Linked DNA regions of Coturnix japonica. The protein of the gene in region 1 binds, or shares a complex with, the protein of each later gene. Links are inferred from orthologs where the notes say so. Each region holds a gene or a part of one and is shown on either strand. Other genes may lie near its edges.

Evidence for each region.
Region 2: the proteins of KIT (region 1) and SOCS6 are in contact, whole or in part, in a crystal structure (PDB 2VIF), measured with the Homo sapiens proteins. The link is inferred for Coturnix japonica from reciprocal best matches to the Homo sapiens genes KIT and SOCS6. Residues at the interface, in NP_000213.1 of Homo sapiens: Asn566, Asn567, Tyr568, Val569, Tyr570, Ile571, Asp572, Pro573, Thr574; in NP_004223.2 of Homo sapiens: Arg391, Glu395, Arg409, Asp410, Ser411, Ser412, Asp413, Ser419, Phe422, Thr428, Leu429, His430, Thr431, Arg432, Phe442, Tyr443, Glu444, Gln445, Val448, His460, Asp464, Ala469, Phe470, Cys471, Tyr472, Ser473, Arg474, Ser475, Arg476, Thr482.

Annotation. Positions count from the first base shown.
Region 1 is NC_029519.1:58,881,539-58,885,214, reverse strand, and holds the end of KIT (mast/stem cell growth factor receptor Kit), read left to right. Parts: intron 1-673; coding exon 674-799; 3' UTR 800-2,912; downstream 2,913-3,676. UniProt on the Homo sapiens protein: Tyrosine-protein kinase that acts as a cell-surface receptor for the cytokine KITLG/SCF and plays an essential role in the regulation of cell survival and proliferation, hematopoiesis, stem cell maintenance, gametogenesis, mast cell development, migration and function, and in melanogenesis.
Region 2 is NC_029517.1:84,341,477-84,345,949, reverse strand, and holds the start of SOCS6 (suppressor of cytokine signaling 6), read left to right. Parts: upstream 1-1,469; 5' UTR 1,470-1,547; intron 1,548-1,567; exon of another isoform or gene 1,568-1,697; intron 1,698-4,473. UniProt on the Homo sapiens protein: SOCS family proteins form part of a classical negative feedback system that regulates cytokine signal transduction.

The DNA.
Region 1 (3,676 bases):
CTGTATTTATTTAAGCTTGGAGGAATGTTGTGATCAAGTGTACATTCACTGTTCTTTCCACCATTCTCTAGTAAAAGCCTGTCCAGAGGGTAACTGGACAAAAGAGTTCAAAGAGAAAGCGGATCCAGCAGACTTGGATTTTTTCTCACAGTAACACTGTGTGCAACTGAGTTTTATAAAAGCAAGTTCAAGATCCGGTTTAAAAATAAGGCTTCCTTTCACCTTCTAGATGTCGTGTTTGGGTAGAGTGTAAGGCTTCCTGACAATCTGAGAAAGAGGAAACTGAAAGCTGCTGGTGTTCGATTGCATCCTGTAGCGTATTTTTAGCAGGTGCAGGCATCATTAAAACAAAAATGAAGAGTGTGAAGTAAACATTAGAGAGTTTTCTGGGGGCATTTTAGGAATAATCGGAGGAGTATTTTTTCAAGCTCAGTTTAAATTTAGAGTGCAGTTGTAAGATGAAGTGTTTTTAGTCAATGAGAATGAGATTCTTGACTCTTAAAAGAGCTGTTAAGCCCACAACATGTTGAAGCAGCGTGTTTAGGTTTGTCAAGAATCCCCTGAGTCGGGTGCCCTTCATGTCAGGTAGCACAGAGAGGGAGATGGCTCACTGAGGTGTGAAAGGATTGGGCCATCTGCCGGGTATTTTGACAGCAGTGTTTGGCTTCTGCAGGTGTATGCAAACTTTTCCACTCCACCTTCCAGTCAAGGCAACGCTGCAGATCATTCGGTGAGGATTAACTCAGTGGGTAGCAGCGCTTCATCTACTCAGCCCCTTCTGGTACGCGAAGATGTTTGAGTGGCATCTGGAAGAAGAGGAGCCCAGCTGTACTTGCTGTTTGTATTGTGTAGGGAGTGAGAGAGGGAGGACTTCTATTTCTTTTACTTTTACTCACTACTACCACCGTGTAGCTGAAATGTTGTAATACTGTCCTTTACCACACACTGTTACACATAAACTTAATGTGCTGAGCACGGTTACAGGCATCATTGCAATGTTAACTGAAGCTGTATATATTTTGCTATATTGTGTGTATTTGCAGTAGAGAGCCAGATGTGGAGAAGAAAAACAACAAAAAACCACAAAAGAGACCCTGGGCCAGGGTGTTGAATGAGATGACTACAGATCAAACCAAATCTGCAGCGGTCCTCCTCTGGATCCATGCTTGGAAAGCGTGTAGTCATTTTCTAGTTAATTTTGTTTTGTTGAGTTTAAGAAATAAACAGATATAAAGCAAAGTGCTTTGCAAACCCCTTTCCATATCCAGCCACACCTGAGAGGCTTTCTGTGGCAGACACCACAGGTTGGAGGCCAGGAGGGACAGTGAGTCCCTGGGCAAGAAGTGGGCAGCCAAGGGGTGGACATGGGCACCACAACAGAGAACTTACAGAGGTTCTGGGGCGTGAAGCTGTTCTGGAAGTGAAAGACCTCAGTCTTGATTTCCTACCTGGGCTTTCAGCAGTGCAGAGCAGTCAGCAGGTTTCTTTGGGTACCTGCACCACATCCCAATGGCATTCCACCACAGACCATACCCCACAGTCAGGACTGCAGGGATGAGATGCTTGGTTTGCTAAAAGCTGTGTCCAAATGCGTTCACCAAAGATAGGTGGGCCCTACTGAGCTGGTCAAATGACAGTAGGAGGGTTGCTTATAGTAAATGGAATGTCAGAGGAGCAGAGGCCGTTTAACGAGACATCTTATCTTGGCAGGAGCAGAAGCAAAAAATTCTGTCCTGAGGGCCCTTTGCTTATCTTGTGATATGCAGGTGAACATTTCCCATAGGCTGGCTTGGATAATGCACTCAGGAAAAGGCTATTCCTCCCACAAGTCATTACATCTTTCTATCTATCTCTGTAGTAGTGCTGAGATCCTGAAGCAGAACTTAACTGGGAAGCATTGAATTTTTAAATGGAATAGAACAGTGAATACCTTCAGTCTTGTTTGGTGGCACATAAGAGGCTGTGGGGTCAGTTTCTGTTGGCCTGGGATTGTGCTTAAGTATCTTATAACTCCTTTTCTTCCTGTTGGAAACACTGTTGTTTTTTTATTTTTATTTTTTTTTAACCTTTGTTCTGTCACCATTAAATTCATGAATGCCTCAAGAGAAGCATTTTGTTGAGACAAAGAGTACCACTTAAGTACCTATTTATTTACATTGCACTTAAGCACTCTGTAACTTATGTTTTACCAGGATTTTGGTTGAGTTTACATGCATTTTAAATGTGTAACTAACTGCCCAAAATGCAAGACAATTGTAAATACACACACTGGTAGTACATTTTAGGTAGTGTTGAATACCGCACTCTTTGTATGCCTGTGCATTTGGTTTATTGTTACAGGAATTCATCTTTCAGAGTTAGTCAAGAAGTAACCATTTGCACTGAACTTACTTAGGCTGTTGCACCTTTCCAAAGTTAGTCAGTTGTTTGGAGGCACTCTTATGCATACTTGTTGTTGAGCGTTTTCAGTTTAATGCTATAAAAGCTCTTTCGTAGTGTGTTGGCTTTCAGAGCAACTGTAGACAAACTAGTTTTATAATCATAGATGTCTTGGTACTTTATGGACATTTAGCTGAAAAAAAAAAGTTTGGGTTTTTTCTTTCTTAAAATTTATATTTTTATAATTTTTTTTGGGGGGGGGGGGATTGAAACTTATTTTGCAATGGCTTAGTGTTTGAATGGTTTTATGCATTGTTTTTTTGTAAATATGGAAATGTAGCAATAATGTCCTTTTGACTATTCTCAGTCCTTGAGTCTCAAAAATATTTTTATATATATATATATATGCAAAAACTATATGTATAAATATGTAAGTGTTCAAAAGTTTATGAAACACTTATGGATATGTTGCTCGGTTGTAGAATTGCAGTTCAGAAGAGTTCAAATAAATCTGTAAATATGTATTCAGATGCTATCGATGTGTACTATGTTAAGATGGAGTATTTTCATGTAAGTCTTAATAAATTCTTGGGTTGAAGCAAAATATTGATGTCTGGCCACACAAAGGTCAGGTTGGGTATTCTAAAATATATTTCACATATGTGACAGAAAACCTTGATGGTTTTTCATTAGAAAAGTTCTTTACTTGTATAATATGGGTATATGGTATATGGGATAATGGCCTGGATGCAGCTTTATGCTGAAGAAAATTTGCAACTTCTTTAATGAGTCAGTTCTATTGTATCATGTTGTTTTCCTAGTGGTATGGAATGCAATTAATGACCTGCATTTTGTGATGTCTATCTTAGTGAAATCACAACTGGACAAATGTCCATTAGACTGAAAAAAATGAATGGCAACTGCATTATATACCTAGAACTGTCTGGATTTGGAAGCCATAAAAAGAGAAAGTAGTAATTCCCTTGCTGGGCCAAGAACCACATTCCTAAGGGGATACCCTCTGCTTTAGTTACTGCAGTACTGAAATCTTTGACTCCAGACCCAGACCTATGCTGGTGTACGTACTGCATCAGCAAGGTTGGTACATGATTTAATTTGAACCATTGTTTTTCCTGTCTTACCTGCTTCCATGTTCAAGCAAAGTAGAATTCGTACCGAGACATCCCCATTCATGAATAGGTAGAAAGAGTTCATGCATTCTCTTTCAGCGTCTTCTGAGGAGCTATTTCATGCGTTCATTTGCAATAATTATACCACCTCAGTTCTGGTTCATGGT
Region 2 (4,473 bases), on another chromosome or scaffold:
TCTTTTTTTTTTTTTTTCCCCTTGTACTATTGAAGACATTTAATCATAATTGGAGAACATATAGTTTTAACAAAAACATAAATAACTCCAGGTACTTCATGTCTGAATAAGCCTGTGTTTGTATTAATAAGAAAATAATTTCCTTATACTGCTCTTACTGGAGGCATCACCACCTGAAACTGTAGCCTGCCAGCATCTGTGGTCGATCAGATGCATAAAGAACTGTGGAACTTTTGGATGAGACTCAAGAAAATTTCTCTGACACTCCTTAAACATCTGAGACACAAAAATGTAAATGCAGTCAGGACACATCCTGACCTCAGATAACTCAGGCAGTTAAGCAACTCTCAGACCTCAGCCCACAAACCTCCTTGGTTTCAGCAGAACAATTCAGGCAGAATGTGTACAGATATTCTCACAGCCTCGTGAGTTTCAATGATTGCTTTCTAAACTTCATATCAGTTAAGCGGGTGAGTAAGAAGTCACACAAATAACATCACTGACTCTTGTAGATAAGTAAATTATGCATATCTTTGCAAAATCAAGTTCTATATTTGCATCAGTTAAAGACCACAAGTAGGAAACGAAGGATGAAAATGCTTTAGAGAGTAATACTTTACCAGCTAGACAAATAGTACTTTCCACAACTTCCAAGACCCGTATTGTCCACACATCTGAATTCTTCCCCCCCTCACTTGTCACTCCTGCCAGTCTAACACATCCTCAACTAGGAATTGCCTTGTTGTTCTTTATTTGGAATTTTATTTTTAAAGAGGGACCAGAAAAACAAGCAAGCAGCCTGCTTGGCTGGAGTACCTAAAGCACAGCTGATGTGGCTGGAGTTTGGCGGCACTCTTCTCCAGTCAGTCTGCACAGCAGCATCACACACAACAATGTTTTTTTTCCTGAGCATCAAGACAAATGGGACAGGAGGGGAGCAGCCAAGCTTCTCGCACCTATGGGCCTGGCAGGGAGCTCCTGGTCCGGGGCAGCTGCAGGGGTTGGAAAGGAAGAATCCCTCAGAGGATGAAGTACAAGCACAACAACACTCATCACTGACAGAAAGGAGCTCGCTGTGAACTTTATTTATGAACTTCCTAAAGCCAGGGAGAACCTTCAGAGAGACAGGGAGAAAGGGGCCAGGGGGCCCCAGCGTAGCTACCCCAGAGTCCTGCGGCCACAGAGGAGGCAGACAGGAGCCGGGGGAGGCAAACCAGAGCGGAGACCGGGCCTCAGAGGGCTGGCGGTGGAGCGGGCGGGAAGGTGCAGGCAGGGCTCGGAGGAGGGCGAGCGGCCCGGGCCGTACGCGGCCGCATCAGCAGAGCAGTGCCTGCAGCAGGCGGCGGCCATCACGGGCTCGCCACCCCCGTGCGCCCCTCGGAGGACGGAGGGGTGGGGGCAGAGGAGGCGGAGGAAGCGGCGGCGGCGCCAGGAACAGGGAGGCGGCGGCGGCGCGGCAAAGGAGGGAGGGAGGGAGGGAGGGAGCCGAAGCCGGGCCGGGCCCCGCAAGAGCAACAGCGACGCCCAGCTCCTCCTCCTCCGCCTCGGTGAGTCCGCTCCGCCGCCCGGAGAGGCTGCTCGCCGCCCAGCCCGGATGCCGGCTCAGGCCGGGCCGCGCCGCCGAGGTGCCCGAAGAGAGGCCCGAGCCGCGAGCGGGACACCGCGGCCTCCGCTGGGTGAGCGTCCCCGGGGCAACGGTGCGCCCTCCCCCCACTCTTTTTCCTCCTTCCTTCCCCCGGTGGCCGCCGATGGAGAGCCAGGGATGGGGACGGTGCGGTTCTTAGCTTGCCTGCATCCCTCCTCCCGAGCCCCGGCCTCCTTTCCCTTTGTTTGCGCGGCGCTCCGAGCTCTCGGCGGCGCCAGGCCCTGCGGAGGCAGCGGGACTGCGGCGCGGCCTGCATGGCGGGCGGGGAGCAGCCGGGCCGGGCCGCGGGGCCACTGCACAGCCCCCGCCTGGCAGCAGGGGCCGCCGCCGCCGACCTCCCCACGACCCTGCGCCCACCTCCCCCGGGCCGCTGCTCCTGTGCACCCGCTGCTGCTCTGTGCCGTGACCGGGGGGCGGCCGAATTAGGCTGCTGGCTGCTTCCTCTCCCCATCCACCCACCTTCATTTTTAGGTTTGCAGGGGTCTGCTGCTGGGCAGGTTGCCAGGGGTGTCATTTTGTGCTACTGTTGTCGGGGCTTCGCACTGTGAAGGAGCTCCGGGGAAGGTGAAGCTGTAAATGTCATGTTATTGTTAGCTGAGGGTATGCCAAGGGCTGTGTAAGGGGTAAGGGAAGTATTGTTAGCTGTGACAGGCAGCACTTACAGGCTTAAAAAGCTCAAGACTTTTCTAAATTTATTTATTTATTTAAAATCCAAACAACAGGTAAACAAACAGAAACTTTATTAGCTTTCATTGTTTTTCAAACTGTCTTTTCCACTCTCTTTCCCTAATGGTGTAGCTTTGGTCTGAAACAGCTGGTTCTGGCCCATGCCAACTCTGTTGTCTAAGAAAGACCTTTCCAAAACCCTGAACTTTTGAGATGTAGAGAATGGCGCCGTGTTGTGAGGTGCTGTGATTGTGTTTTTTCCCCCTTAATTCTTTCATCATTTCTCCCCATATTTTTAGAACTGTGATAATGTACAGCAGAATATTCTTTGGAATGGGAAAGTGTCTCATCCAGTTACTACACTCTCCTGCCCTTTCACGATGAGGTCTCAACTCCTCTTTCCTGCCTGCCAGTAATGCTTACACCACATCCAACCTCTCAGTACACCTGTAGTTAAAAATGCCTTCTGTAGGCCTCCTGTCTTAGGAAGCTGATTTCTATAGAAGTACTTGAGGAATAATCCTTCTGCATTTCTGCCATGGCTGGACGCTATTTTTGTTTCATGTCAATTAGCCCATCCTTGGATTGTAGAAAATATGTAAGCTTTGGCATAGTTATGAGATAAATTACTCTAGCTTGGCTGGAAGACGTAAGCCACAGGAGAATATCTAGGTATTTTTGGAGTCTTTTACAGCGAGAGAGTAATTGTAGCTCATGCTTTTCTGTCTAAGTTACTAAGGCAGATTTCAGCTTTTTCAAAGTGCTTGCTTTAATGAAGTTTTCACTTCTGTCGTATATTTCTTGTTATGTGGCATCACGCTAAGTTTAGAACTGAACTTTTACTTAAAGCAGACTTACTTCTTGTTGTCGTTATGTGGATATATGCATTTACTAACTTCCCCAGAAGCTTCCATCTATAGGTTAGTAGAGAAGTAGCGCTGTATTGTTACCCAAGCTTCTGTGAGTTTCTTCATGGTGCTGGATATGTGCAACTAAGGGTTCTTGTAGACTAAGTTACAATGTTGGATTATCTTAAAAATTGACATAGTAAAATATGAAAAAAGATACTGGCTTATACCATGCTGTTAATTTGTTTCTTCCTGGGTTGTTCAGTAGGTCAATCAGATACTTTGAGTTACACCTAGAAAAGGAAGTTCAGACAAAATAATAACTTGGTCCAGGTTGCTGTGCAGGTAGTTCAGATTACTCTGCTTATTGCAGTGATGAGGGGGTGCGAGAGCAGACTCTTAATTGAGAGTTCTTCAGAAGCAAGTTAATTTCTTAATATTTTTATGAAAACTTCTGTAGTTGTAGGATAACTTAGGGATTACTGTCTGAAAGACTTGTTCCGGTAGTGTTGCCTTGAATTGTCTACATATTTGCTGCATCACTGCTGGCAAAACTGAGGCCATAGTTCAGGGTAATTCATTACGTGCTGTATTTGCTGTTACTTTACTTCCTCCCTGGGCCTACATAGTACTGTTTTGGTAGTACAGCGTGCCATAGGAGGTGAATGATAGAAAAGTAAATGGAAAGGAGTTTGATCTTTGCTGGTGTGTCTTGGCTTTAATGTGTGTTAGCAACAAAGCAGAGGACGGCTCCATTAGCAACAAAACAAAGAAGCTTGTGATGCTGCTTGGAGGAATATATACTACAAATAGTATAAAAAAAAATACAGTCTAACTTGTAAGTGCAAATACTGAAGTTTATTGAGTGGACAGGGTGGGGACTGAAAAGCAGAGTAGAGTTCTTATGCAAATTGACTATATATTTCAGTGAAGTGTAAGGGAAACAGAGAACTTTGTTTCCTTTTTAAAATTATTTTTATTTTATTTTATTTTATTTTATTTTATTTTATTTTATTTTATTTTATTTTATTTTATTTTATTTTATTGTTAAAGAGAAACAGCAATATTTGGTAATGTTCCTCATCCTTATTCTTTTGCGTAAACCTACTTTCATCCCATTTTAATATATGCTTATTTTCTGAAAATACAAATAAGTCTTCAGATGACCATAAATGCACTTGATGCAAAGCTCCTAAGTTGTTATGAACCTTTCTTGTGAGGGGTTCCTGTGGGTCCCTCTGTATTTGACATAGCAATAGAAAAGTGAAGTATTTTTCAAAAAGAAATGAACCCTGAAAATGTTCATTGACAATA